Caenorhabditis elegans: one gene and its partners. The protein of the gene in region 1 interacts with the protein of each later gene in a pairwise test. Each region holds a gene or a part of one and is shown in the gene's direction. Other genes may lie near its edges. The genes, in order: F30H5.3, Y65B4A.7, abu-14 and abu-10.

Evidence for each region.
Region 2: the proteins of F30H5.3 (region 1) and Y65B4A.7 interact in a two-hybrid assay, tested with the Caenorhabditis elegans proteins (one large-scale study listed by BioGRID).
Region 3: the proteins of F30H5.3 (region 1) and abu-14 interact in a two-hybrid assay, tested with the Caenorhabditis elegans proteins (one large-scale study listed by BioGRID).
Region 4: the proteins of F30H5.3 (region 1) and abu-10 interact in a two-hybrid assay, tested with the Caenorhabditis elegans proteins (one large-scale study listed by BioGRID).

Annotation. Positions count from the first base shown.
Region 1 is NC_003281.10:505,133-515,553, reverse strand, and holds F30H5.3 (BPTI/Kunitz inhibitor domain-containing protein), read left to right. Parts: upstream 1-3,336; 5' UTR 3,337-3,636; coding exon 3,637-3,670; intron 3,671-4,586; exon of another isoform or gene 4,587-4,678; intron 4,679-4,720; coding exon 4,721-4,862; intron 4,863-4,919; coding exon 4,920-4,998; intron 4,999-5,051; coding exon 5,052-5,168; intron 5,169-5,216; coding exon 5,217-5,494; intron 5,495-5,643; coding exon 5,644-6,595; intron 6,596-6,677; coding exon 6,678-6,753; intron 6,754-6,874; coding exon 6,875-9,841; intron 9,842-9,896; coding exon 9,897-10,051; 3' UTR 10,052-10,313; downstream 10,314-10,421. Other genes in the region: T22F7.3 (BPTI/Kunitz inhibitor domain-containing protein), read left to right, coding at 1-81, 164-302, 587-939, 989-1,097, 1,630-1,679.
Region 2 is NC_003279.8:643,353-649,673, reverse strand, and holds Y65B4A.7 (LIM zinc-binding domain-containing protein), read left to right. Parts: upstream 1-2,431; 5' UTR 2,432-2,448; coding exon 2,449-2,553; intron 2,554-2,603; coding exon 2,604-2,669; intron 2,670-3,689; coding exon 3,690-3,891; intron 3,892-3,937; coding exon 3,938-4,035; 3' UTR 4,036-4,048; downstream 4,049-6,321. Other genes in the region: Y65B4A.2 (Peptidase C1A papain C-terminal domain-containing protein), read right to left, coding at 1-81, 670-962, 1,600-1,867, 4,107-4,223.
Region 3 is NC_003280.10:9,222,918-9,229,747, reverse strand, and holds abu-14 (Activated in Blocked Unfolded protein response), read left to right. Parts: upstream 1-2,533; 5' UTR 2,534-2,590; coding exon 2,591-2,680; intron 2,681-3,260; coding exon 3,261-4,058; intron 4,059-4,102; coding exon 4,103-4,336; 3' UTR 4,337-4,562; downstream 4,563-6,830. Other genes in the region: ZK1067.3 (uncharacterized protein), read right to left, coding at 4,659-4,709, 5,131-5,392, 5,445-5,587, 5,637-5,897, 5,944-6,033, 6,081-6,473.
Region 4 is NC_003284.9:3,795,038-3,801,503, forward strand, and holds abu-10 (Activated in Blocked Unfolded protein response), read left to right. Parts: upstream 1-3,144; 5' UTR 3,145-3,185; coding exon 3,186-3,227; intron 3,228-3,284; coding exon 3,285-3,626; intron 3,627-3,675; coding exon 3,676-3,852; intron 3,853-3,897; coding exon 3,898-3,984; intron 3,985-4,026; coding exon 4,027-4,116; intron 4,117-4,160; coding exon 4,161-4,274; intron 4,275-4,329; coding exon 4,330-4,605; 3' UTR 4,606-4,704; downstream 4,705-6,466. Other genes in the region: F35A5.5 (uncharacterized protein), read right to left, coding at 264-332; F35A5.8 (SH3 domain-containing GRB2-like protein B1), read right to left, coding at 5,183-5,287, 5,357-5,458, 5,558-5,654, 6,328-6,428.

The DNA of each region.
Region 1 (10,421 bases):
GATGAGGTTGTGAAGGAGGTTGTTGTCGCCAAGGAAGTCATCAGGCCCGTTTTGGCGGGCTGCAAAGAAAATCAGGTTGAGGTGAGTTTTTTTTTCTTGGCGACTAAGCCTAAACCTAAGCCGGAGCATGGTACAGGCCAGTCCAGAAATCAAAAATTTGCAGAAAAACAGCGCCTGCCTCGACAAATCGGCAATTGGAGCGGCATGCACAGCAGACGAGCAATGCCCGAATGGCACTGTTTGCACTTTGATGATGTGCAAGTGTGCACATGGAAGCTCACCTTACAAGGATAGGTGTTTGAGTAAGTTTTCAAGGAATTTTCGCAGTTTGGAATAGTGGAACTACGGCTTCCATGTGGGCGCCGGTGAGACGCCTCAAACAGCCTCACGCCGCCACTAGCGCCGCAACTTATCCGCGTGTATAGTTCGGCGCAGAACCTTGAACTTGTCGGCCGCTTCCACATAGCCACGCACTACGTTGCACGACTACGGTGTGTAGCCGAAAACTCTCCCGGCGTGAGGCGCCGCTCTCTCAATTTTTACACTTAAAAAACTGGCCATTTCCAAAATATCCCAATTCTTCCAGACAATATAAACATCTGCGAAGCACCAAGACAGCCCGTGATATCTTCCGACTACACCCTAATCCAGTGTGCCAAGCAGAAATGTCCGAAGCCTTCAGCATGTGTCTACTCAAAAATGATACAATCCTATGTGTGCTGCTCCAGTGCCCCAGTGACGTTGAGCAAGCCTATCGCACCACCCGTAGTTGGAAGAATCGTAAAAGGTGGTAGAATCGTCGGAGCACCTGCTACTACTGGAGCTGTTATAGTGAAGCCCCATCTGGCAAAGTACACCTGTCCAGACGGTCGAGTGCCGATGCTCTTCCCACAGAATAATATGCCTTTGGTCTGTAATCCAGTTAAAGGATGCCCACAGGTAACTTAAGCAATGAGATTCGGGAACTTAAAAGCGTTGTTTATTTCAGGGTCACACTTGCATTAACAAAATGTGCTGCCCAAACGGGAGGGTAAAACGCTCGGAGTCCTGCCCCAGAGGCTATCTAATGGTGGAAAGAGGTGGCGAAGCACAGTGTGGTATGATTTTCTTATAGCTTACAAGTATTTGGACACTTTTTCTTGAGTTGCGCCTTTGACATAGGTCCCGCAAGAAAATTTTTTTTGAAATTTGTCCAAAATTTTCAGAATGTTTTTTCTAGTCGTAGAATTCTTTTAAATTATGAGAAATTTGCAAACAATCAAGATTGCACGTGGTGTCAGAGCGTTCCATTTCGGTTTTCTCTACGTATCATAGATCTACAAAAAATGCGGGAGTTGAGACGCAGAGTTCTCAACTGATTTTGCGTGGTTATGAACGTGCTGACGTCACATTTTTTGGGCGAAAATTTCCCGCATTTTTTTTTAGATCAAACCGTAATGGGACAGCCTGGAAACACGTGAGCTTGCAGCATTGGAGAAAGTTCGGAATTACTGCAAAAGTTCAGAAATAACAAAAATTAGCATTTTTAGTCAAATCTTGACTTAAAAAATAATTTTTTCACAACGGGGTTTCTGAAGATTAACAATCGACAACGATTTTTCTCCAAATCCCCAACTTTTCTTATTTCAGAACCACAATGCCCATGGTATGCTCCGTGCGCTGCTCAACGAAGGCGATAGATTCTGTTACTCTTTCCCCAGTTGTCTTTTTTAATTCTCCCGAGGTATACACCTTGTCTCGTTACGGTTATTTTTCTTTTTCTTCTTTCCCCCGTCTCTTTGTTGCTCCGGAGATGTTCTATAACAAAAATTCTAAATAAAGAAACTCTCAATTTAATCCACTGCAATTCCAATTCAACTCCCCCCGCCTTCCTAAAAACAGTCGTTAGCCACCCAAAACAAACAGTCGGAACAAAAAAAGCGGCGCACCGGTGCTGCGCGTGTTTTTCATCAGGTCATGATTTGCTCGCGGAGAGAGGTGAGACCGGCGAAAAAGTTCACTCTTTTTGGAGTTCCGCGCCGCGCGTGATCTTATCATTGTGAGCGCGCGCGAGAGCCCCGATTAGAAGAGAAGCGGTGTTGGTTTGTACAATATTTGAACCAGCGCCGCCGCCACCAACATTAAACATACAGTAAAACATACATATGTTTGGTGCGAAGATCAGTTTCTCTTGACGTACACTTTATAATGAGATAGGATGGATGCCCGCGCGGATCAGAGGAAACTGGGCCAAGTATGCTACACAAAAATACACTAAACCTCGGGTGTTAAGGATGTCAGAAAGTGTTTCTGTGCAGTAGCGGGCTGAAATCACAGGATCATCCTGCTGGATACTCAAGAAGACGGTTACTTTCAAAATTTTTGCGAATTGCAAAAAACCATTTTCGAAGCGGTGATTTTTCACGAAAATCAGTTTCGCAAATCCTAAGGTATTCGTGGAAATTTTTTGTAGAAATTAAAAAAAAAGAAACTTATGATGTCAGCTCATAATTCAAGTTCGGAATCAGCTCATAATTCAAGTTTCACGAAAACCAAAAAGCTCAGTGATCTTTTTCGAGAATCTTACCCCTTAAAATTTTTACCGATTTTTCTGAATTTCAAACGTACTTAGTCTTGCGCTGTTCCACTCCACTTTGACTTTTCATACCTTTGGTAATCTTCACGCTACGTGGCAACAGTATGAAAAACAGAGACTTCTCATGAAGACGAAGAAATTGTGAAATGAATGAAAATTTAAACTAGTGTTCAATATGGCCCATGGTACTAATGAGTAAGGCTACACGTCATATCCAAAAAAATATCGTGAACTGATAAGTTATCAAACTATAGAAGACGATATAACGAATATCTTGGCAGTTGACAATTCTTGAGAAATCCAATGACAACATAGATGTAGGTTGTCAACATTGGAAATATCTAGCATTTTTTATAGAGCTAGTACAAGTTTAGTTGAACACAGATTTTTCATATATTATGCATACATATCGCACATGTTTCTGGGGACTTTTACTAATTTATCTTATCAGATGTGTTTTTTAACCCGCTATTCAAAGAAAATTAGAGAATGCGAGTATGACTACTGAGAGTGTGAAAACCGAAGCTCAATGATATCATACAAAATTCCGAAATGCCGATCATAAGCCCCTATCATGCTCCGTATACAATGTACCAGGCTCAATTACGATGTTGCTCTCTCTCCCCTCCCCACCGCTCTCAACATGTAAATCGCATTACACGAGTGACCCGAACTGTATTCTCGAACGAGAATCTTGCGAAACCGCGGGTAAACAACACCAAGAGAAACCCCTCCTCTCTTGGCTCTGCGAGCACACAAATATAGTGACCCCTCCCTCGCTCCCTCCCCTGACCTTGACCAGCAGACTCAGCTCAACACAAAAGCCATTCGATTGCAACTCGTCTTGGATTCGAACCACCCCGCACCATCATCATCAGAAGGCAATCAAAGAATTATCTGATTATTTTCGTATGATTTTCAATCAATAACAAAAGAGCCATTTCATATATCCAGGTCTCTATCACATTTCCAAATTGCCCTTCTTTATTGTATTCAATTACTCATTTTGAACACTCATTATATAATAATCACAAACATCAATCAATTGATATTCCGCAGCAATGCGTAACTGGTTTATTTTACTCCTGCTTGCAGGTAAGCTTTTTCTTTTTTGCCGGATTTTTTTATGGTTGCTTTGAAAACTTTTGAATCAAATTCTTTAACATAAGCAATACTTTAATTCAAATTTTTAGAGTTTGAATTCTGCTACTTGACACTTGGACTTTTTCTTGCTAGCAATATGAACTTGAAAGTTTTCTTCAAATTTTGATTCAATTTACGAGGGTTAGCACAATACTTAAACTCAGAAATATCAGCATAAAGTTCTTGAAACTATTTTAACATATATATTTTTATAAAAATATAATTTTTGCAAACTTAGTTGTCGGAGAAGAACTTATAAAACTAAGAATGTGTTCCTACAAGTCTAGCCTAAAGAGCTCTAACCCTAAAAATGAGTAGTTTCACCACTGTAGGTTTTTGACCCTTATTTATTATACAAAAAGTATGCTGTGAGTCGGTAGTTTTTATGGAATTTTTTTGAAAATTTGACTTTTACCTCAAAACCCCACTCAAAAACAGCAAGCCATCTCTTTTTTACTCTTGAAAACTTAAAACGTCAAAATTTCTATCACTACCTAAAAATCAAAGCACGATTCTATTCTCAGAATTGTTCAAAATAAATCTAGTCTTTAAATATTCGTTCTAGCCCAAGATTTTGCATTAAACTGGCCTATGCCTTTACGAAATCAGCACTAACATGAATTTTAAAGCTTCCTGGGGGTCTTAGGTGCTTCACAACTGCCAGACCCAGACCATCAAAACACCCATCAGGTCACAAGTCCAATTAAATTCTATTTTTAGAGCACCAGACTAGAGAGTTCAACTTGCATAATACCTTTTTCGTGTTTCTAGTGCTCTCTCTCTCTATCGCCGCGCCGCGTTCCAAAACAAATCCAAGCACATACAATAAAATTGGCAAACATTGTGTGGGGGGTTCTCAGTGTCTGAGATTCGATTCGCCGCAAATATGGCGGCGGCGGCGTGACTGTTGCCCGATTTGGGTTAAAGCGGCCGCGAGCGCAGACGATCGTGCCTTGAGGATTGGGAGCAGGTGGTGACGAATAGTAAAACTTTTTGTTTCAGGAGGCACATATGCAGTCGAGCAGAAGCCGATTTGCAGGATAGGCGATGGTTGTGACACGTCCGGATGTCGGATACCGACTGAAGGTGATAAGTGTGATGAGGAGATGACTATTGATTCCATCTATTGCGATCTTGCCACAAAGTAAGACCACTTTTGAATAAGGAAGCTGTTACTAAACACGACTTTTTCTAATTTCAGCAAGACCGACACTCACGAGAACGCGTTCCTTATCTGCAATCTTGTCAAGAAGGAAATCGAACGAAAGATTTGTCCGAAAGTATAAAATCTATTCCAGTTGTTGAATAATCTTAACAAATTCTCAATTTTTAGAGCCAATTCTTCATTGACGGAAAGTGCCGAACTGGCAATGTTCGGTACAAGCGGCAAGGAGTTGCCGGATCCGGAAGAGTTGGAGATTTTTGCAGCTTCAACACCGATTGCTTGACTGTAAGTGGATTTTGAACTTCTTCGAGATTCTAAAATTCAAATTTCCAGGGAATGTTCTGCTCCACAGGATCTTGCACATGCCTCTCGAACTTCGTCGCCATCCAAGGATACTGCTACCTGAAGAAGAATCCAGGAGAGTCTGGATGTCAGTACGCCGAGCAGTGCTCCGCAGTATGGCCAGAGTCGCGGTGCGAAAAGTCGAGATGCGAGTGCCCGGAGGATGTGAATGGAATTCCATATGTTCAGGCCAAGACCAGGGACGGAGTCGTTTGTGTTCTTCATTCCGGAGAAGACGGAGATCCGGTGCCAAAGTGCCCACTTCCAGAGTGAGTTTTTATTCAGTGGGAGCTATTTTGTGACTTCAAGCTTCAGCCTAAACCTAAGCCTGAACCAAAGCCAAGCCTCATAGTCAGTCTGATACTGAGTCACAACCTAACTAGCTACCTTCTTATCGTTAATTTCCAACTTCTTCTAGATACGACGATGATCTCCTCACAATGCCAGTGTCCCAACTTCGCAACCCTCACATGACCGATCCAGACGATGCTGACATTCAAATGGGCGAGCACATCAACCCACTTCAATTCTGCTCCTCTCAATCCACCGACTATACCACCTTCATCGCCAACGGAGGAGGTGCGTGTGCTTACGCGACCGATGCTAACAACGCTCAGGAAGGAGATGGTATCTATATCGCTGATATCTATGATTGTGTCACCTCCACGACATCAATGGCCAACGTTAAGACTGCAATGGAAGGAGTTTATGACATTCATCCAGCCTCCGATGGTATCTGCTGTCCTAACAGAGCCTTCACCTGCATCCAACCAAAGAGAGAAGCTGATAGTGGAAGTTCGGCGCCAGCAGGAGTCCGTCCAAGATGGTGGTACAACGCTGTCACTGGCACCTGCGAACAATTCATGTGGGACCCATGGGATGAGACCGAGATGCAATCACCAAACAACTTCAAGACTCGTGAGCACTGTGAATCCTATTGTAGAGACACTTGTAAGCGTGGATCCCCACAATACCTCACCGGATCCGCTCAGAATGAGGATGAAGTCGTCAGCAACTGCCAGACGGCCTCTTCCTGCACATCTAACTTCGAGTGCACTTCCATTGGATCCATGCAGCTCTGCTGCCCAACTGTCGCCAGCGTCTGCTCCAACACCGGAGGCCGTCCAGTCGACTTGGTCCGATCCACCAACTTTGACGCCGGTATGTTGATGAAGCGCAGCTTCTCCATGACCTTCTCCACGAGCTCGCGATACTATTACGACGCGGAGCAGGGAAGATGCATCGCGTTCACCTACAACGGAGCACTCGGAAACTACAACAATTTCAAGTCGTCAGCTGATTGCGAGTTGTTCTGCGCCAAATTGCAATGCAAATACGGAACTCCACTCAAGATTGGGTCATCTAATCAGGTATGTGCAGTGTAAATAACACCGGGGGTACCGGAGGTTTCGCGAGTTCGAATTCGTATTTCGAGAAAAATGAAATTTTCAGAGATGCTCCGCCAGTGCCGACTGTCCAAGTACCCACGAGTGCCAGTCAGATCACAATGTCTGCTGTCCAAGACCTCGTAAGTTTTAGAGTTTTAAATTTTTTACTCAGTTTACTCAGTCCTAGGCTAAGATTGCAATACGACCTAGACCTATCATCAGTTCCTCAGCCCACTAAAAACCTCAAAACATTAATTCCAGAAGCCATCTGCTCCCAACCCCTCCGCCTCGGAGACTGCAAGCAATCCGTCCGCCGTTACTGGTACAACGCAGTTACCCGTGCCTGTGAGATCTTCGACTACACCGGCTGCCAAGGAAACGATAACAACTTCGAGACCCTGTTGGAGTGCCAGAACACTTGCGAGAACATTATTCCAGAGCCACAGTGCCCACAAGGAGACGCCTACAAGGATTACCAAGGAAACTACTACGTCTGCTCCAACTCTGGAGCTGGAAACTCTTGCCCAGTCAACTATGAATGCTATTTCGACGGATACGTGTGGGGATGCTGCCCGACCAAGGCCTACACCTGTACCCTTTCCCCACATAAGGGAGTCACCTGCGGATCTGGATCTTCTTACAGATACTATTACAACTCTCAGACCCAAGAATGTGAATCCTACCAGTACAATGGATGTGACGGAAACTCCAACAACTTTGCTACGCGCGAGGATTGTGAAGGATACTGTGGAGTCGGAGGATGTCCAAATGGTGGAACTCCAGAACGCAACGAGTTCGGTCAGCTTATGGTCTGCTCGACCACCCAGGTGTGCCCAGGAACCCACGAGTGTACGTCTGTAAACTCTGGAAGCTCAGTTGTCAACCGTTGTTGCCCAACTCGTGCCTACATCTGCTCTCTTCCACCACAACAAGGATCCTCCTGCAGCTCATCCGCCGCTGCTCGATTCTACTTCAATATTGTCACCAAGGAGTGCACCCAGTTCACCTACAACGGATGCTCCGGAAATCTCAACAATTTCGCCACCCTCGAGCAATGTAACAACTTCTGCCTTTCAGCTGCCTGTACCCCTGGAGATGTAGCCTACGTGAACCCCAACACAAATATGCCATATGAGTGCAATGCAGCTCTATCCAACAGTTGCCCAACCAACTTCGCTTGTACCTACGATCAGCTGTCCTCCAACTCTGTTTGCTGTGGAGCCACCAACATGGATGTCTGCCCAGAAGGCGAGAAGGCTTACGTCAACGCTGCCGATATGGGAGTCCGCGAGTGTCTGATCAATGTGGAGGGATCCTGCCCGAGCAACTATCTCTGCAGATTCAACGCCATGAAGAACAGATACTACTGCTGTGCCTCGATCACAGGAGATCTCTGCCCATCTGGAAAGGCTCTTTACAAGGAACCAAGCTCCAAGGCCCCGATTCGTTGTACCATCAGCAGCAACAACAACCAATGCCCAACCGGGTACACCTGTCAGTCCGATGTTCCAGGCGCTTTCCAAGGATACTGCTGCTCTGGAAACCATCTCTGTCCAAACAAGGCCGAGTTCTACTTGGAAGAATCCTCCCAGATGCCAAGATCCTGCACAGTTGGAGCATTCATCACTTGTCCAAATGGTTACTCCTGTCAATCCACCCAAAACGAGTTCACCACCGGATTCTGTTGTAAGGGAGAGGTCGCTTCTGTCTCTGATGGTTGCCCACCTAATGAGTATGTGTTCATGAAGGACAACCAGATTGCCCCATGTGATCCATTTAACCCACCGAATGCTCCATGTCCAAATGGATACTCCTGCCAATGGTCGTTGGCTAACCAGAGATACCAATGCTGTGGAGCCACACCAATCACCACACCAAAGTCGATCGCTGCTCTCGGATGCCCGAACAACCAGGTCGCATTCCGCGAGAAGGCATCAAATGCTCCAAGAATCTGCACAGCCGCCTCTCAGAACTGCCCAACAGGGTTCTTCTGCCAATTCTCCACCGCTAACAATCAATTCCAATGCTGTGGAATGTCGGGAGGATGTCCAAATGATTCAGTTGCCTTCATCGGAATCACCGGAGAACCACAATCTTGCGCAATTGGTCAGAGCACTTGCCCATCCGGATATTCTTGCCAGAGAGCCATCTCAGGAGCACAACTCTGTTGTACCACAAACGACGAGCCAGTCGGACCAACAACTCCTACCAAGGGCTGCACCGAAAAACAAGTTGAGGTTGAGGGAGCCTGTCTCGATAAGAAATCTCTCGGAGACATCTGCAGTAACCAAGTTCAGTGCCCAACTGGAAGTCTCTGCAAGGAATCTGTGTGCTCTTGTCCAGAAGGACATCACGAACTCAACGGAGTTTGTCTCCCAGACTGTGGACCAAACGAAGTCGAGGTCGCCGGAAAGTGTGTTGCTAAATCCCTTATCGGAGAGGCTTGCGAAGCTGATGAACAGTGCCAAGGTGGATCTTCATGCCTTGACGCTACCTGCACCTGCCCAGAAGGCGAAGAGGCTGTCGAGGATGTTTGCATGAAGAAGATGTCGCGACCAATGTCGACTTGCCCAATTCCAGGACAGATTCCATTCCTCGAGTTGAGAACTAAAGCCGCCAGATTCTGTACTCCATCCCGTCCAAATTGTCCACGTGGATTCAGCTGTCAATTCTCTCAAACCGCTCAACAGAACATCTGCTGTGGAGGTGGGAAGGCGTCAGCAATCGTCGCCGAGAAGAAATCCGGAAAGCCAAGCACTTTCAGTTCTAAGCCAAATGGAAAGGAGGACGGTGACGATGAAGCCGCTGACGTTTGTGATCGTGGAAGCGCATACGTTGTGAATGGGACACCAAAACAATGTACAGCATCTCCATGCCCAAGTGGATACAAGTGCACATTCTCGAAGAAGAGCAAGAACTACTACTGCTGCTCATCGAAGGCTTCTCCGGGATCCTCGTCTGGATCCGGAGCAGCCAACGGCTGTGCCACTGGAAGTGCCCTGCTCTTCCCATCAACCGGTACGCCAGTTCAGTGCTCCAACAGTGGATCAAACAGTTGTCCAGCCGGATACAAATGCCAGAAGAGCACGTTGTCGAACCGATTCCAGTGTTGCTCAAGTGTCAGTGGAGGTGGAGATGGAGAAGAAGAGGAGACGGCTCCAGTTAGAGGACGTCCGGTTGTTGGAGGTCGTGGATCTGTGAACAAGAACAAGGAATCGGCGGCTAATGGTGAGTTTTGTGTTTCTGGTACCCCCAAAACCTCCCAATAATCCCAATTTTTCAGGCCCATGCTCAAACGGTCAGGTGCAAGTTCTCCGAATCGTCGGAGAGAGAATAATGAAGAAGTGTGAGGACAAGTGTCCACCACACCAGGTCGCTGTCCGCGGCGTCTGTCGTGACAAGTACCTCGCCGATGCGCCACTCAACAACGAAATCTAATATCGGTGATTATTTATTAATTTTTTGAATTTTTTCCAATTTTTTCCAATCAATTTTCTTTGAAAATGACCTTTTTTTTCTCTTTGTTTTTCATGTATTGCCATTAGTTTCCAAAGTATGATTGGTGACTGTTCCCCTGAGTAGGTGCGTTTGCACCATAAAAAATCCCCATTTTTTTCGCCCGCTTATTCTTTCAAACAATGTGATGACCTGTTTTTGCATCTCTTCTTTCTTGTTTCGACAATAAATTTTCGAGATTCTTTTTGTTCGCAACGGATTTTAATTTAAATTAAAATTCAGGCAAATAGGCAGCCATGAAAATAGCCTGTTTTAAAACAGAAATTTGAATTTTACAAACAGAAATTTTGAA
Region 2 (6,321 bases), on another chromosome or scaffold:
CGGCCTCAAAGAACGTGGCCGGCGAGCACGGGACTCCACACGACAGGTCAAACGAGTAGGGACGGCAACCGTCACGGCCACCTGGAAATAGAGATGGCCTAGGTTTTCGAAAAACTCTTCCACGGGCTTAGAAGAATCGTTATTGTTTGGAAAAATCGATAATTTGCAAAAAATCGATAATTTGCAAAAAATCGATAAATTGCAAAAAAAAAATCGATAAATTGCAAAAGTTGATAATTTCTAGAAAATTCGTTCAAATTTTTGGGGAAAGCTTATTTTCAAAAAAGTCGATAATTTGCAGGGAAAATCGATAAATTTCAAAAAATCGATAAATTGCAAAAATCGATACTTTTGAGAAAAAAGTCGATAATTTTTTTTAGAAAAATCGAAAATTTTCTAGAAAAATCGTTAATTTTCTAGAAAAATCAATAATTTTCTAGAAAAATCGATAATTTTCTAGAAAAATCGATAGTTTGCGGGAAAAATCGATAGCTTGCAAAAATCGATAAATTGCAAAAATCTTCTAGAAAATTCGTTCAAAATTTGGAACAAGTTAATTTTCAGAAAAATCGATAATTTTTTTTAGAAATTATTACAAATTGCGTGATATAAAATTCAATCACATTGTAGATCAAAGGTTCCTAGGCCACCTATGACGTCACCGCTTACCTGTAACAAGTCCCTGATTAACCCAATAGGTCAAGGCCTTCAGTGGATCTCCGCCGTAACAATTTCCGCACACCGAGCAGCATCCAATAATATCCTCCTCGGACAAAAGTGACTTAAAAGTTCCATTCGAGTGAATACAGGCACGGTCGGAGGCGACACCGGCGGCGGCGACCGCGAAGCAACTCCCGCATCCTCCCTGATTTGGAACATTCGAGATTGACGGGCAATTCGGCCATTTCTGACGAGCGTCGAAGTTTTTCGGAACATCGGAGCTGTTAAAGTTCTCAAGTTCACTGCAAAATTGCAATTTTTGGGATGATGCACCATGTTTTGTCGAAATAATTCAGAACCCAATGCACCAGATCTTACGCGCAAAATTTCAAATTTTTAGGTTTTGAACGCAGCCCGGCAAAGGGTACATAAGTGTAAATGCGCTCTACCGAACCGTGTGGAAGTCATCATTCACGCGCCTCTGGCTTCACTCATATTTTGAAATGGAAGATTTTGCCGAACTAGGCCACTTGAGCTCGGCCACGGCCGGGGTAGATTTACGGCGCGTTGCGGCCGGGGTAGATTTACGGCGCGTAGCTCGGCTTTAAGGCCGGAAGCCCGTGGAGTTTACGAAGCATCAGATATTAAGCGCAAAATTCTTTCCTGGTGTTTTACGAACATTTTGCTGTCTTTTTAAAATTGTACCCAAAACTTTTTAAAACTTCTGGAAAAATCCAATTATTCAGAAGTTTTGTTTAAAAAATCGATAATTTTTAAAAGGAAAATATAGATTTTTCTCGAAATTTGGTAATTTCTGCATTTGCGTGTAAAATATGATGCATTGCAGGACTATCGTATGCATCACAGCTTACGCGCTAAACTACATGCGGCGAGAGCGCGGAGCATCGTTGTTTCCCGCTCAAATTTGAGTTAACTCACTCCAAATGCCGCTTCATCGCATCAGACTCGAAAAATTTTCGAATTTGTTCCACGTATTCCTCGACCGCCGTCTGATTTCTCGTATATTTGAATCCGTAAGATCGATTTTTGACACCAAACTTATTGAATTTGGCTTTCCACGTGGTCTCCGGCGAGTCATTGACTTGACGAACGAGTTTTCGCAAATATTCATCATTATCCCGTTTATCATTTGCATCTGTCACATATCGACGGTAGAGGTAGAAGCTACCGTATACCAGACCGAGAACTGAAAATTCAAAAAATTTGGGTCTCGCCGCGAAAAAACGTGGCGAAGTTTGCACATGGTGCATCGACAGCAAAAATCGATAATCTCTTGAGAAAATCGATAAATCATGACAAAAATCAATAAACGTTGATTTTTCAAATAATAAATTTGGATAAAAATCGATAAGTCTTTTAAAAAATCGATAAGATCGAGGGAAAATCGATAAATTTCAACTACCGATTTTTTTAAATTGCGCGTTTGATTATACACGGATTTATGGCTTCCCTCATATGGAAGAGTTTGCCGAACTAGGCCATTTTGGCTCGGCCATATCTGGGGTAAATTTACGGCGCGTTGCGTGTCGCGTCGCGGCTCGATTTTAGTTGTAAAACTAAATGTATTTATCCGTGTGGAGTGCACGACTTTCCCACGTGTTGTCCGGAAGGCGATTGTCAATGGAGCGCGAAAAGTTCAATGAGGAAGACCAGAACCCCGTGATTATAAAATCAATAAAATTTTGAAAAATCAATACGTTTTCCCACGTTTCTCTTCAATTTTCTCCTTTTTAAATTTTTAAATTAATCATTTCAAAAATTCGAAAAATGTTGTTCTCGTCGAACAATAAACGTCTCCAAAAGATTGTTCTTCCATATAATATCCATTGCAAAGGCTGCACAACAACGCTGACTCGTCAAGAAGCTCAAACTGTGAGCACATTTTTGGAAATATATTCAATTGAAAATATCGATTTTTGCAGGGAAAAGTGATCAAAATTCAAGACGAGATGTATCATATTTCATGCCTGAAATGCTCGGTTTGTCAGGTAAAACATTGCAATAATCGATAATTTTAGCGAAAATCGAAAAATTCGATAAATTCTTAGTGAAAATCGATATTTTCTGATTCGCTAAAATTCGATAAATTTTTAATCAATTCATTCGATAAATTCTTACAAAAAGCGATAATTTATTTTTGCGAAATTTAATAATTTTTTTTCAAAATTAATTTTATAACATGTGACACACGTTTCTGGCTTCCCTCATATTTTGAAATGTAAGAATTTGCCGAATTAAGCCATTTTGACTCGGCCACGGCCGGAGTAGATTTACGGCGCGTTGCGTGTCGCGTCGCGGCTCGGTTTTCATTTTAAGTTGTCCGTGTGGAGTACACACACACACACTCCCCTGCTTTAAGGCGATTGTCAATGGAGCGCGAAAAATGCAATAAGGAAGGCCAGAAGCCTATGTAATTTGTTTTTGCAAAAAGCATTCCTCATTGAATTTTTCGCGCTCCATTGACAATCGCCCGCCGGACAACGCGCGGGAAAGTCGTGCACTCCACACGGACACGGGGTTCTGGCCTTCCTAATTAAATTTTTGCGCTCCACTGACAATTGCCTGCCGGACAGCGCGTGGAAAAGTGTTGTGTACGCCACACGGACAAATACAGCAGTTTTACAATTGAAAACGAGCCGCGACGCGACACGCAACGCGCCGTAAATCTACACAAAATCTCTCCGACCCAAAATGGCCTAGTTCGGCAAACTCTGCCATTTCGATTTATGAGGGAAGCCAGAATTCCATGCACGGACAAATACATTTAGTTTTACTACAAAAACCGAGCCGCGACGCGACACGCAACGCACCGTAAATCTACCCCAGATATGGCCGAGCCAAAATGGCCTAGTTTGGCAAACTCTTCCATTTCAATTTATGAGGAAGACAGAAATCCGTGAAAATCAATAATGTTTTTTTTTTTTTGCGAAATAAATATGTCGATTATTGATTTTTCCTTATTTCATTAAATTCCGTCAAAAAATCAATAAATTTCTCCAAAATTCCAGACAGTCATTGGCATGACTCCGTGTTATCCAATGCCCGCGCCGTACGGTAACGCGCTCCGTTGCGCGGACTGTCACCGGGCGGCCAAGTCACCAAAATGCCACGCGTGCAAATTGCCGACTTTTGAGAGATGCGTGTCGGCGTTCAATGTCCACTGGCATATGGCATGTTTCAAGTGTAAAGCGTGTCGCCACCCGATTAAAGGTCAGTGTATGCAAATGTGCTCCACCGAACGAAACCTATTTTTCAGGTCAAGAGTACGTGGTTCACCAGGGATGTGCCTACGATGAGGATTGCTATCACCATACCATTCAGAAAATCGATATGGAAAATGATCCGGCGAAATAAATTTTGCAATTTTCAATATTTCGATTATCGATTTTTTTCTTGGTCTCGGAGTGTCGTAGTTTTTTACTTACCTGCCAACAAGAGTAATATCACGCTAGCAATTGTGGCGGCGACCTGCGCCAGCCGTTTCCGCCGACTTCTCGTCTCAAATGTGGTCCGTGTCTGCTCTTTGTCGGTTGGGTACATTTCTGCAAAAAAGGTGCCATTAAGTGGGCGGAGTTTAACAGTCTAACTTTGCCGAGTGTCGTAGTTACAGTTTAGGTGCCGAACCAGAAAAATTGAAAATTAAACAAGAGACTACACGGGCTAAGATTATCAATAGGGCGCTTTGCAATTTGATCTACAAAAAATGCGGGAATTTTTGCCCCCAGAAAAACGTGACGCCAGCACACTCTTAACCATGCAAAATCAGTTGAAAAGTCTGCACCTCTTCTCCCGCATTTCTCGGAGATCAAACCAAAATGGGACACTTTGACACCACGTGCACGCAGACTACACGGGCGAGGATTATCAATAGGGCGCGTTTGCAAACTTATATTCAAAATTATTGTGGTGATTATGCTTTTGCACATACGGCGTAAAATGAGGAAATCCTCTGAGCAGAAGGACAATATCAATGGCAAAACAAACAAAATTTGACACATTTTTGCTTCTCCCCCCTGTCCCCGCCCGGAACAAAATACGCCTTAGCAGCAGCACAAATGTGCACACGAAAACATGAGCACAAACACCGGAACACTGCGCGGCTGACCAATTGACCAGAGACAAAAAGCTCAACGTTCAAAATTTTTGAGTGAAATTTCGATATTTAACAAGAGGACACCCCATTACGGTATGATCTACAAAATATGCGGGAATTTTTTGCCCAAAAACATGTGACGGCAGCACGTGCGTAACCAAGCGAAATCAGTTGAGAACTCTGCGTCTCTTCTCCCGCATTTTTTGTAGATCAACGTATTCAAGCCAAAATGAGACACTCTGATACCACGTGAGAGGAGAAGGGCATGGGAAACCTAGATGGAAGAGAAGTGACGTCACATGGTGGCCTAGGAAATCAAAGTGCGGTAGGTGGAAGAGAAGTGACGTCATTTGACCTAGTGGTCGAGCATGGAAGAGGGATGGCGTCACCTGGCCTAGGAAATTTGACGGCCAAGCCTAGATTAGAGGGCCTAGAAATGCTCATTCCAAGGCTTGGAAGAGGTGTGACGTCACTGATGACCTAAGAATTTTAGTGGCCAATTCGGGTATGAAATGGCGTCATTAACATCGATGGCCTAGAATATTTCTCGGCCAAACTTACCAGTGGTCTTGGAATTTTTGGGACTAGGAATGGAAGAGGAATGACGCAAACACATGTCCTAGAATATTTCTCGGTCCAGTATGGTGAAGAAATGACGCAACTGATATTGATGGCCTAGAAAATTTGGCGGCCACGCTTTTTAGTTACTGTTTGTCATAAGTTACAATCTCAACAAACTTAAAAAGAATTGCCAAAAATTTTCAAAAAGTGAAAAAGATCGAAAATCTCAGCATAATTACAGTAGGGATTAAGCATGAGACGCAAGAAACGGCAAACTACGGACAGAATTTTATGAAAGTTTTTGGCGGCTTTTTCATGTTGTTCAGTTGCGATTTTTTTTGGACAAATAAAAACTCGCTAAATTTCGAGATAATCGTAGAAGTAGGGCTTGCATGTAGGCATTGCCTGCCTGACATTAAGGCGGCCTGCCTCTTGCCCAGCGTGAGGCCGGCAGGTTTCAGGCAACCACGCCTGCCTACCTATCAACTGAAACAATGATCAACGGTCGAATCTGGTGGTCTGATTTGATACCTCTTTGTGCAACAAAAGAATTTATTCAATAAATATTTTGAAACGTTTTTAAAATTTGCACAGATTTGTTGGAGCACTTTCAAGAAATACAGAACAAATTTTCTGGAAGAGTTTTTCAAATTTCTAGGCCACGAGGCACCTCTAGATGGCCTAGAAATGTCAAAATCTGGTTTTTATGTATTTTTGAAAGGGGAAGAAATATTTGTTGGTTGTACGGTCCCAAAAGTCTGTTCTGGCTACGTGGCCGCGAAAAGAGAAAACTAGGCCATCAATTTTTTCCGCGGCCACGTCATAACTTTGCTCAAATCATCTTCATTTACTATAATTTTTGCGGGGAATTTCAAAAAATTATCAGAAAAAGTTTTGCCGGGAATTCAAATTTTCTTAGAAAATGTTTTGGCAGGAATTCAAACTTTCTGAAAAAAATATTTTCAAATTTTCTCACTGAAAATATG
Region 3 (6,830 bases), on another chromosome or scaffold:
AGAAAAGTATTATAATGTTGGGTGCACCTCCTCCCACCGTGTCAACGTATTACGCATTTTTTGCACCGATCCGGTTTTTTAAAAGCAATCATTGTTTGAATGTAGGTCGCGCATGGAAAAGTACACGTGGATTAGAACACGTTGAAACATACACCAAACATCGTTTGAGAGGAAATTACAACAGGAAAACTGGCTCCAAAACTGGCTATAGAAACAACACTTTTTGATTTTTGGTTCAAAAATTACTCCGTTCCAAATGTTCAGTAGCAATTGTAAAAAAAAAATTTAATGCTATTTTCCTGAGAAATTTCACATTCACAGAAAATCTCTATTTTCAAAACATATATTAAAAGTTGAAATTTTGATGTCTATCAAAAATTGTCAAAGAACATAAATAGGCACAATTGCAATATCAAACAATGTTCCATTCAATTAAGCTAAACCGGAAAATCTCTAGCTCAAAAAGAGAAGTCATACAGTTGGAAACTGTTTCGGTGATCAGTTTACGATGCTCTGCGCAGTAAAGACAGAAGAAACGACTCATGTTGACTTACCTTGATTCATTGAACTTATGTTCAGAGACTTACCGACAAATGACGGGATGAATCATTTGAGAATTTCTGTAAAGGTGCAACTAGAAGAGAAGTTGTACATTGTTTTTATTCGAAATTAGGCAGAAATTAACCGGCAAATACCGAGGTATATTGCAGGGAGCTATAGTACACATAATAATATCAAATTGACATGATTTATGAGTAGGGAAGTTGATATCATAATTGGTTCAAGTATATCTACTACTACTGACAACTTCGACGAGCCCTGAAACATAAACAGGAAAAATTGGTACTAGATTGTGTAACATACAATTGATGCGTACCTCTTCGAAAATATTTTACCGTAGTCTGAATTTGTACGTGATAAGCTCTCGTCAAAAACAAGAAACTACATACATTGCTGCTCACAACGAAATGCGTTCAATTGAAATTTCTATTTGCCAACCGGGAGCCTCCAGACGGTTAAAACTGTCAAATGATGTGATTCCGTATGACTCATCAATGTCTGACCCAGAAATCCGGTCCTCTCGGAGTTTCTAGTTGTTTTCCACGTGTTCCACGTCACAATTGAATTCACATGGCAACCAGCTGCATTGCATTGGTAAAGTGACCATTAAATTCAATACGAAAAGTAAGCAAATACTTCAATTGTGTGAGTTTTAGTTGACCAACTTTTCATCAGGTTCATGAAGAATGTGAATGAAAAATGTTTTTATTCACTGTGAAGTAGGGGAGATCAAGAGATAAAGAACAGGCTAGATTTGGAGATACGAAAAGCGACAAACATGTGTTTTTATGTAAGCAGTCTTCTCCGAGCATCTTTTTATAGATGTTCGAAATACTTGAAGCGAAAAATTGCGCAACTTGAACTAAACAAGATAATCAGTGCGGTTGCTGCTATTTATGGATGATGATTGCTCGCGAGAGGGGGTCAGCAGGGACGACATTCCTACAAAGGGCATAAGGAGAATGAAAAAGTATGCGGGTAGAAGAAGAGAGCAAATGAGCATTGAGAGCATACTGTATTTAGTGATAAGCAGAGATTTTTGATATCTAAGCTAAGAGTGTCCGGAACATTTGGAAACTAGAAGCATTGGTCATGGAATTTTATTTAGAAAAATTGAAAAAGGAAGTCACACACATAATAAATTATGTGCATCTAAAACGTTAAAAAATCCAAGTATTGTACCGATTTTAATATTTCCAGGTACTGAAAGATTTTGAAAAATAAACAATTTTAGCAGCGTTTTTTGAATTGTCTTTGCTTTACATTGAAAGCTTATATCTCGGTTCTCTTTGGTTTTATCAAAAAATTGTCAACAAACCAAATGCGTGTAAAATGTTTATCTATATATCAATAGTAGAACATTTTTTGATATAACTCATGACAGTCGAGATATGAGTCGTCAAATTAGAGCAGTCGTGGTAAAAACTTTTAAAATCACAAATCAAGAAAGATAATTAAATTATTTTTCGCTGTGTGACCATTTTTATTTCAGCATGCGCTTCAAAAAACTACCAAGTTGCGTTATCATATTCTTTGGTTTACTCCGAAAATTTACTGGTAGCTATATAATTTACCAAAGCTGAACAAATAATCCACTCATTTGGTGAATAGTTCTAAAGTATACAAGCTTCAAGTCATACAGGTTATTTCAAAACTACAGTACCCTTCAAGGCTTTGAGGACCTCCGGTTTCCGAGTATGAATTATGAAATGTTTTTCGTCTAGTCCTCATTGTCTCAATCACTATCTCCAGGCAAAAAGATGAGATCTCTTGAGGGTACTGGACTCTCCCTCAATCCTCCGATTCAAGGAGTTGTTTCGAACGCTTAAGCACTCCTGGCTCCGCGCGGGGCGGAGTCGAAGTGTGCCGCGACCGACCGACCGCCGGCGCCTTCCTCCCCATTACCCCCACCCATCTCCCGCCGCTATATAAAAGGTACGCAGTGCCATCTGGACAGAATACAGAGCCTTCGAGTTCTAGTCCTTCTCCTTCTTTTACCCAACTCATTATTCCCCACATTTTTGTTTCAATGGCAGCCCGCAGAGCAGCTTCGATTCTTCTTATCGCCGTTCTGGCCCTCTCCAGTACCTTCGTCTTCGCTGACGAAGAGACTGTCAAGGTAAATTTCTTTTTTAAATACTACTTTTGTACTTTTGAACATTTATTTAAGCATTCAGTCATACTTTCCCTCTTTTATGCTCACTATTATTTTCGTGTTTTCTGTGTACCTAACCATTAGGACACGGCGCGGATGTGGGTATTGAATGCACAATGTGCATGAATAGGAATAATGAATAGGCTTTAGGAACAAGCTGGTTATGATCATGATCTTATTGATCATGCCCAATTGAAGCATAGCGTCTAGTACATCAGGATCCAAATTTCAGCAATCATTTGTTTAAATAACTTTTCAATTTTAACTATGATGCTTCCTTATGACTGTCTAGACTCTTATTTCATTTATTCCCGTCATTGGCCATTCCTTGAGACCTCACTAATACAAAGTGAAGTGGTCATTTCAAGGGGTCAGCTGGCTTCTTCTCCTGCTCTTTCCCCTCCGATAAAAACAGGAAAAATGATAGTGTAAACAAAGGGCGCATGAAGATTCTCTCCGCGATTGCCCCCCAGAGTGTGCGCGCAAAAATCTAAGCACACTGTCTTTCCTTACGGTCAAACAAAAGAGCCCTAAATAACTGCAGAACGAGACCGGATTGGCGTTGTCGCGTGCCAAGAGACAGTGCTGTTCATCCAACTCCAACTCATGCTGCGGAAACAACAACAACGTGCAATGCATCCCAGTTTGTCTGCAACAGTGCCAGAGCTCATGCCAAACATCCCAATGCATCCAACAATGTCAGCCAGCTTGTAACCAACAGTGCGGAGGAAACAACCAAGTCATCCTTCTTCCACAAACCAACAACTGCAACCAATGCCAACAACAATGCATCAGCTCCTGTGCCACCCCAATCTGTGCTCAATCCTGCAACAACCAATGCTCCAGCTCTTGCGGAAACTCTGCTCCACAAATTGTCGTTCTCCAACCACAACAGAACCAATGTGGATCATGCCAGTCTTCCTGCCAACAGACTTGCCCAACATGCAACTGCCAATCTGCTTGTGCTCCAGCCTGTGGAGGAAACAACAACAATCAGCAAATCATCGTTGTTCAACAGGACAACTCATGCTCATCCAACTGTAACAACCAGTGCTCCAGCTCCTGCAGCACCCCAATCTGCATTCAGTCCTGCCAATCCTCCTGCCAACAGGCCTGCCAGCCAACCTGCCAGCCACAATGCATGCCATCCTGCTCGTCTAGCTGCACATCCAACCAGGCTCCAATCGTCATCGTCGCTCAACAAGGAGACTCATGCTCCAACTCGTGCTCCAACCAGTGCCAGTCTGCCTGCCCAACTCCAATCTGTGTCCAACAGTGCAACTCTCAATGTCAATCCCAGTGCTCGAACTCTTGCTCCGGAAACAGCTGCAACCAACAACAGGTAATAATATTGATTTTCCATTAATTCATGAATCAATATTACAGGTCATTGTCCTCCAACAACAAGACAACTGCCAGAATCAATGTCAATCTTCCTGCATGAACACTTGCCAATCATCGGCTACCGTTCTTCAATGCCAGCCAATTTGCCAACAAACCTGCCAGAATACCTGTCAACAAGCCGCTCAAATCGTTGTTCCATGCCAATCGAGCTCTTCTGGATGTGGATGCTCATCTGGATATTCTCAATGCGGTGGATCATGCTGCCGTCGTCGTTAAGCATCCCCTTCCCTGAATTCTATGAACGAATTCTTACCGTATCCGCGTTTTCTATGCGACAACTTCTGTTTTCGTTTCCCCATCCCACTTCTCACATAACTTTTATTATGACATTGTCTGTAAATAAGTGGTAGCCATGTGAGGTGTCTAATTATTTTATTATTGTTCCCTTCTTTTTCATGATGTTTCATTGTCCTTGAGTTTCGACAATAAATTATTCTAATTTAAGAATTATACAAGAAATGTTTTCATTCGGCAAAACATAAAATAAAAAATCACATATATTCACAGTAATCAATCATCATATAATAAATTGTATTGTTTAGTCCTGTTTGAATAGTCCTCGAGCTGAGCGACGAAGGGTTGAGCGACGCTGAAAAAAAAATTTAAAAAGAAGAAAAACAAATGTATCCAAATTAACAGTTTTTCTAAATTTATTATTGATTTTATTCCGAATTTTGCAAATATAAACGAAGTTACTGAAACAAATTCGAATTTTCGACAGAAGTTTCAAAATTTTCGCGTTTTTTATTCATTGGTTTCTCTTGATTTTTTCCTTGATCTTTTTTAATTGTCACCCAAAAAAAAGTCGTCGAAATTTCAAAATTAGCCTAGAAATGAGTAATGTAGCATTAGTTTCAACTCTTTTTTTTCGGAAAACTTTCTGAAAAAATGACAAAGTATCGAATCAAACACTAAAGAATTTTTCAATTAATGAATGAAAATTCCATAATTCGATAGAAAATTAAAAATTTTGAAAAAAGAGCACATGCTTGTTATAAAAATGCACATACCCTTACAGCACCAGCTTTCATCATTGAGCTTCGTCGTTTTTTCTTTTTCTCTGGAACATATTCCTGCACATCGGAATCTTCTTCGGCAATATTCATAGCTTCCAAGATCGAACCGAGAGGAGTAATCGGAATTGGACCATGGGAGTTTTTCTCTGGCGATTTCACTGCGGAGATATTCTTCCAGTTCTCGATTGACTTTTCAATAAGTGCAATATGATATTTGGAGAGACCTGGTTTTAGATCGCAAAGTGTCGATAGAACTCTGGAAAAGATGAAGAATTATTACAATCGTTAAATTTTAGAAATTAACTAACGTTTGAAAACTGATCACTTGAATGTGATTTTCCTTTTCTTTTTCTTCCATTTCTTGATTCAACGAATCGTTCATGCTATCAGTCTCATCAAAGTTTAGAACAGTTCTAGGAGTTTTCGATGGACAATTGGCAAGATTGATCTTCTGGAAAAGCCTTTTTTTAGAAAGAAAATTGGATAATAAGCAATGATACTTTTCTATCAGCCTTCTTCGTCGATAAAATTGATGTTGGCTTGAAACTGAGATCCGAAATAGGACTGTGCCTAACATCTGAAGAAGAACAAGCAGCTATTCCATCAGCTTCAGCTGACTCTCGCGCCTCCTGAATTGCGGATTCAACTTCGAAAAATCGAATTTTTCGCTGACGATTGCCCGTGGTATTGAGCGAGTTGTTGGTAGAGGATGGTTTGCCTGGAGTTGCTCCAGAGGTGATATTGTTCAGAAATTCTGAGACCTGAAAAAATCATAACTTAAAAATCAAGAAATATCAATCCAAATACCTCATTCCTTTGAGATGAATTTGCTTCGAAGACATTAATACCAAGTGGCATCAAGCTTACACGTGGCTCCCGGGAAGCGATCGAGGCTCTCTGAAACAAAAAGTTCATGAAGTTCATTTCTAATATAAAGTCCTTACAAATCTGCTCATAGGCTTTCCAATCAATGACTCTCTGGCTCCGAATGTATGACGTGGCGCAGCTATCGATGGACGATTCACTGGAATGACGATTCGTCCACTTTTAATCATATCTAGCGAATTTTGATCGATTTTGAAGTCGTCCTCAGGTTCAACTTGACTGACTGGGTTCCTCAAAGCTGTGGAACTGTTTTGAGCAATAGATTGTTGAGGGGCCATGGAAACCATCGGAGCTACCGACTGTTTTGGAGCAATCGATGCTCTTGGAGCTATGGGAACCGTTGGTGGCTTCGTAGACTTTTTTGCTAACCGATTATACTTCTGTCTTGATTCCTTCAACCTATTAATCCGTTCTTCTTGTGAAATTATTGAGCGACGACGGGGAAAAACCATTCCGATCTGAAAAGTTGATTTAACATTAGTAAAACTTCACTTTCAAAAAGAGAACATAAATATTAACAAATATCAATAAACAGGAATTCACGATGCCAAATAATTAATTTTCAAACAAAGATGTTTTAACTATATTATTCATTTGTTATGAATATATGCAAATGAATTAAAAAAAAAATAAATATAAAACAAGTGTGAGGGAGAGATTCGGGGGTCCTGCTGAATTCAAAAACAAATTACGCGCGTCGAAACGAGATGGAGCGCCAATGCAATAAAACCCGAGTAAAAAGAGGGGTAGAGGACACGTTTTTTCTGGGATACGATTTCTGAAGATTTCGGTGGGAATATTGAAAAAAT
Region 4 (6,466 bases), on another chromosome or scaffold:
AATACAAACTTTAACGTGAAGTACAATGTTCAAATTTTGATCCCTTTGTGCAAACACCTAGTACACGATAAGAAAAAGTCAAAACCTTCACGCATCCACTCTAAAAAAAACAAGCGTGCAACTAGTCTTGGCGACTACAGTCATGACAAGATATATCGGCTTGAGAATCAACAATTGTAAAGGCTCTTGATTAGATGTGAGAAACTCGTTGATGTTCAACGATCAAACAAACATCTACTATCTAATAACTGAAAAAGTCTTACCTCTGTACTTAAGCATTGGCTGAAAATTGAATACAATACTATATAAGCTCCAGTGTTCAGACGAAACATGTGTGGAAAGTATATTAATTGTAACTAGCGCAGACCGTTTTATATTCGGGTCAGTTTCAATGTTTGCGTTTGGGTTCCGTGACAAGATGGACCGGACTATATCCAGAATGCTTAGTCATAATAGTTCGTTTCGTGAATTCTGAAGTGTAAGGAGAAAGTTTCTGTAAGAAATTCAATACAAACTAAATTCGAATTAAATGAATATGTTTTTGCTTCTTTTCTTTTTTTAAATTAAAAAGAATTTTCTTTAATTCAATTATATGAGCTTGTTTTCAGCGGGATGTTCAATATTTGCAGCAATATTTGTTGCAAGATTTGTGTATGCGAATGTGCACAAAGAGCAAAAAATCAAAGGTTCTATTTGATTACACACACTTGAAGATTGGACTACACTCATTTGCTGCTCATCTTTGATTATCAACCCCCCCCCCCCACAAAAAATTCTTGACTCATTGTTACTTATTTAATTTTTTGCTCGGCCTGGTGGTAGTTCAAATAAACGAAGCGGAGCACAATACGGGAATCCAGAATTGTATCGCGTGCAACTGTATACTTTTGAGTTGAATTGGGAGAAGGTGGAAAAAATGTCGCAGACTATATTTTGGCAACTCTGGCGGAGAAAAAGAGCTCGGATAAAGATCATATAGCAAAATGGTGCTTGTGAACTTTGAACCAAATCCTGATGGAACGCTGGGAGACACTTTTTGGAAACACTACAATTGGCACATACTGATATGATTTCATGATTAAAAAATTGTTATGACAGTTTAAAAGTTGGAAATATATGACTAGATATATTATATTTTGCCAATTTATTTATGCAAAAATGGTCACAAGTTAATTTTTTTTTTAATAAATAGAAACCGTGTACTCCACTGACAATCAGGCAAAAAAAAAACAGTTTCTGGAAATAATAGAAGATTTTGTTATACTTTTGTAATAAAGTTACACGCACTAGTGGACAAAAATGAAGACTACAGCAAACTTCAGTCATTTTTTTTTTATTTTTGAAAACATTTTGAAAAATTTCAAAAAGTTTCTTACAAAATCTTTTCATCTTGTGAAAAGGCTTGCAGCTACACCGTAGATCCATATTTAAAAATAACAGAAGGTTTTGTTTTATAGAGAAACCATTCACAATAAATACTAATACCTTGATGTTAATTATGAAAAAGTCAGAACTCCATGTTTCTTACGTGAAAAAAAACACTGAAAAAAACATTGTTGACCATTTTCAGAAAATAAAATTTAATGGAAACATACTTTTAGTGAATGAGTATTTAATGTAAAACTAGATCACCCTCCCCCCCCCCCCCTCCCAGCAAACTTTTGAGCTCATCCCAATGGTCTGAAAACACGCATAATTCGAAAACGTTCCTCATCACATCAAACGAACATATATTTCAAGTACATGCGTTTTTGCGGGCACACTGATAAAACAGAGCCGGCACAGAGTGCTCACGTACCGGTTCTCGTACGTTGCTCAACTCTCCTGTAACATGACCACCCCTGAGCTTTTAATCCGATTCCGGCGCAACTTTTTGTGCTGCTTTCCTTCATCCTCAGACACAAACATTGCAACCTTTTATCCAGCCGGCAATCGAACTCAACTCAACCCCTCAACCGGTATCTAAAGTAAAGGCAAGCGGTCTGAGTAATGAAGAATGTGATAATTGGGGTTCTTTGTATTTGTTTGTTGGGAGGGAGAAGAATCAACGAGAGATTGTGCAAATGCAACAGCTGAAAGCGTTAACCAGTTTCTCAGCTTGTATTCTTCTATGACGCGGTCTCTATTTACGGACTATTTGCAAATAACGCATCACTTGAACTTTTCAATGCAAGTGTTCGGAGATTGAAAGTTCTGTGTCACTACATTCACGTATTGTTGAAAACTATAACGGATATATTACAAGACGGTCTAGACAAAAATTGGGAAAAAAAGCTCTACTGAAAATGGGATATTAAACTACTACCTTTCAGAAATACTTTCAGAACAATATTACTTGATACAAAAGAAAGATCTTCAAAATAGCTTGCTGGTACTCCAACTAAAAAGATATAATAATCAATTTTTTTTTTACAAATCGGTGCAAAATAGTCGTTCGTTTACTAGTCATGCTTTGAAAAAATTTAAGCTTAACAATGCAACCTAACCTCGATTTTTTTCAAATTAAATTACAATTTCAAATGAGAATAAAGAGAACCTTCTACAACTTGAACATTCTGTGAACTATTGGAAAACACTGGACATTGAATGAAACAAAATTTTTAAACATTCACATTTGCGACGTTGGGCCGTTATTTATTGTCTCGAAAGAGGAAAAAAATGTCTGACAAATTGGAAAAGTACAGTAGATTCAACTGTCACACTTTTTTGTAAAGTAGGGCCTAAAATTAGTAGACTCGAGTTTTGAATTGGTGAGCCAATATCTCTCTTGACACAATTGAAGTGTTTTTAAACTGGTTAGAAGACTAGACTGAAATATATTATAGCTAACATCACTTTGGATAGTATGCGTCTTCGGCAAAATTTCATGTGCGCAAGAAGCCAAAAACAAACAATGTTTATTTGTGTGCACGCATTTTTTCAGCACACGGTTTTCATTTTCTCTGACTAAACTTTTTTCCCCCTCCTTACCATATTCCCACAGGTGCTCTAATCCGATCATAACTACTCATCTGTGTTTGATGCACAATTGAAACTGCCTTCGTTCTTTTTTGTCGCCTGTTCTTGCGCATGCCGGTCTTACCCTCTTGCCATGACTCCTCCCGGCGGGCGCGTATAAATATGAGGAGCAAAAGTTGAGTTGTCAGTAGTAGCTTGGCTTCGAATACTCTCTAACAAAAGCAGCAATGTTCCGCTCTGCATTTTCAATTTTTGCTATTGTCGCCCTGGTGAGATTTCTTTTTTTTTTCATTCCATTTTATTTATAAATTCCCCGCCATTTTCAGGCACTTTCGGCACCAACTCTTAGAGAAAAGCGTCAGGCTTGCTCATGCGCCCCAGTTCAGCAGCAACCATCGTGCTGCCAACAATCCACCATCAATGTCCAGGTTCAGTACACTCAGGTCCAACAAGCTCCAGCTCAAGACCCATGTGCTTGCCAGCCACAGCAGCAGCAGCCTGCGTGCAACTGTGCTCCAGTTCAGCAAGATCCATGTGCTTGCCAGCCACAACAGCAGCAGCCGGCTTGTAACTGTGCTCCAGTTCAACAAGATCCATGCGCCTGCCAGCAACAGCAACCATCCTGCGATTGCGCTCCAGTTCAACAGCAACCAGCCTGTGACTGCCAGGTAGGCTGTTAATGTAAGAGCGACGAATAAAAGTAACCCATCTTTGCAGCCACAACAACAACCAGCCTGTGATTGTGCTCCAGTTGCTCAACAACCAGCTTGTGACTGCCAACAAAACCCATCATGTGTGACCTGCATCCAAATCGAGATCCGTCAGCAACAAGCTCAACAGCCAGCTTGCGATTGTGCTCCAGTTCAGCAGAACCCATGTTGCCAACAAGCTCAGGTACAATATATTTGGTAAATGTTGGATGAACTTTTGAAGTTTCAGCCAGCCTGTGATTGCGCTCCAGTCCAACAGCAACCATCTTGCGATTGCGCTCCAGTTCAACAGAACCCATGCTGCCAACAAGCTCAGGTATGGCATTTTGAACAATTTTTTTTAGTCCGGTAATTTCAGCCAGCCTGCGACTGTGCCCCAGTCCAACAGCAACCAGCCTGTGATTGTGCTCCAGTCCAGCAGAACCCATGCTGCCAACAACAGGCTCAGGTAAATCACACTCCAGAGTTTTCCATTAAGTTTGTGAATTACAGTCAACTTGCGACTGTGCCCCAGTTCAACAGAACCCGTGCTGCCAACAAGCTCAGCCAGCTTGTGATTGTGCCCCAGTTGTTCAGCAAAACCCATGCGCTTGCCAACAGGCTCAGGTAAAGACTATTGCTTTTTGACCAGTAAATTAACTATGGATATCTAAACTTCCAGCCATCCTGTGATTGCGCCCAACAAGCTCAGCCAACCTTCCAAGTCCAAGTTCAACAAGCGCAACCAATCAATCAGTGCGTCCCAGCTTGCCAGCCAGCTTGCCAGTCATCGTGCACCGCTTCGTACACCAACCAACAATCCCAACATTCGTCAGCTACTACTTCCTGCGATGCTAACCAATGCGTATGCCAACGCGGATACGTCAAGTGCGCCGAGCAGACCTGCTGTCTTAGATACAGATACACCAACCGCAAGGCAAAGCGATCGATCGCCTAAACGAACTCATTTCTGACCATGTCTTTCTTTTTCGACTTCACGCAAACTATTTGTACATTTCGGTAATATTATTGCCATTACATAAAGTAGTTTTATATTATTTCCTTTTACACAATGAGTATATGCAATGAAGATATAAATGAAAAAATGATTAAGAATCATTTCTATGATGTTCAAATTACCAATTTTCGTCTAAATTACAACAAAATCACTGAAAAAGATTTGAGAAAAATGCAATTTTCTTTTAGGAAACTCTATTTGAAGTTTGAAAACCAGAAGATTTTCACAAAGGGTTGGTTCTATCATTATCTAAAACAGCAATCGTAGAAGAGATTTGAGAGTTTTCTTCAAAACTAAACTTTTTATATTGTGTTCAATATTGTTAACGAATTTTTGATCTTTAAATTTCCCATTTATTTTAAATCTAAATAACCTATACAATAATAAGCGCATTTGAGGAGTCAAATAAATAGACACATTTCAATTGAGATCTTCCACAATAAATAAGACACCTTACTAAAACATTTTTGGCACATGAACAAAGTACTAAGACAATAAATTAATGAATGCAGCGTTTCTAGAGCAGCTCAATATAGCTGACAGGCAATTTTCCGCGTTTTCCTCCTTTTTCAGCCATCACATATTCCGCATCCATTCCAGGAAGGCGATACACGATGAGAATCTGCAACAAGAGCAGACGTAATTTCACACAATATTTGGTTTCAATAGGGGTCCTCCTCTCAAGACTCACATCATTCTGGGTGACGCTGATCTCTTGTGGCAGCACTGCATCGTAGTCCATGATCACTTTGGCTTGCTTGGTTCCCAAGTCATCCGGCAGTAGGCCACTTGGCTGGAAAATCAGTAATTTGAAGAGATGTTCGTGATGGGAAATAATTGAAAATCACTGGAACGGAAACAACGCTTTCCACGAAGTTCTTCCCCAACTAACCTTGGCCGCCGCTATTGCCGCCGCCATAGTCCTTCCGTTTGGCGGGTCGCCACTATTGTTCACCAGTATTGCCGAGCTTCCGCGAAATGACATGGTGCTGAAAGCAATTTCCTTAAATCTGGGGACAATGAAAAAAGTTTGGCAGAATAGAGAAACATTTATTTGAGTTCAAATCGCGTTTCGTCGTTGTGTCACACATACTAAGACATTCACACAGCAACTGTGACTAGAAGAAGCCGATCAACGGCGGTTGGGGGGAGAATTGAGAGTAAGAAGAAAAAAATTAAACATACTAATTATGCTTATCGATTGGTGGAAATGACCGGGAGCTGTTAAAATATGAAATACATTACAATATAATACATACAGAATACATTGAAAATTTAAGAATATCGAAAACTTGAGCTAATATTGAATTTCTTGGCGAATTTGAATGACACTGGATTACTCAGAAGGAAGTAATGTTAAGTAAAAAGAAAGAGAAAGAGGAGAGAGAAAAAATAATATATAATCAAAATCGATTAAATTTGAAATAAATAGGGAGTCAAGATCACAATCACGAGTGGCAAACATAAAATCAAAGTTCGGGAGTCACTCGTCGTGTCGGTTTCCGTAGTACATCGGTGAATCGGCGAGAGAACTGAAATATTTGCATGACACGTACATTCACTACAACGAAATAAAAAAAGCAGTGGCTACCAAATGAATTGCTAGCGGGAGACGCATGCGACATGAAAACTAATGAGCCTAATTTTGAAAGAGAGACTTACCCGCTCAATTCCCGCTGCAAATCGGCCATGAGTTGATGAGACTGAGCATAGAAAGACATTTGTGCCTCGACAAAATCACGAAGACACTTCAACTGATTGTTCTGAAAATTTTTATACATTTTAAATTGGAAAAATCCCA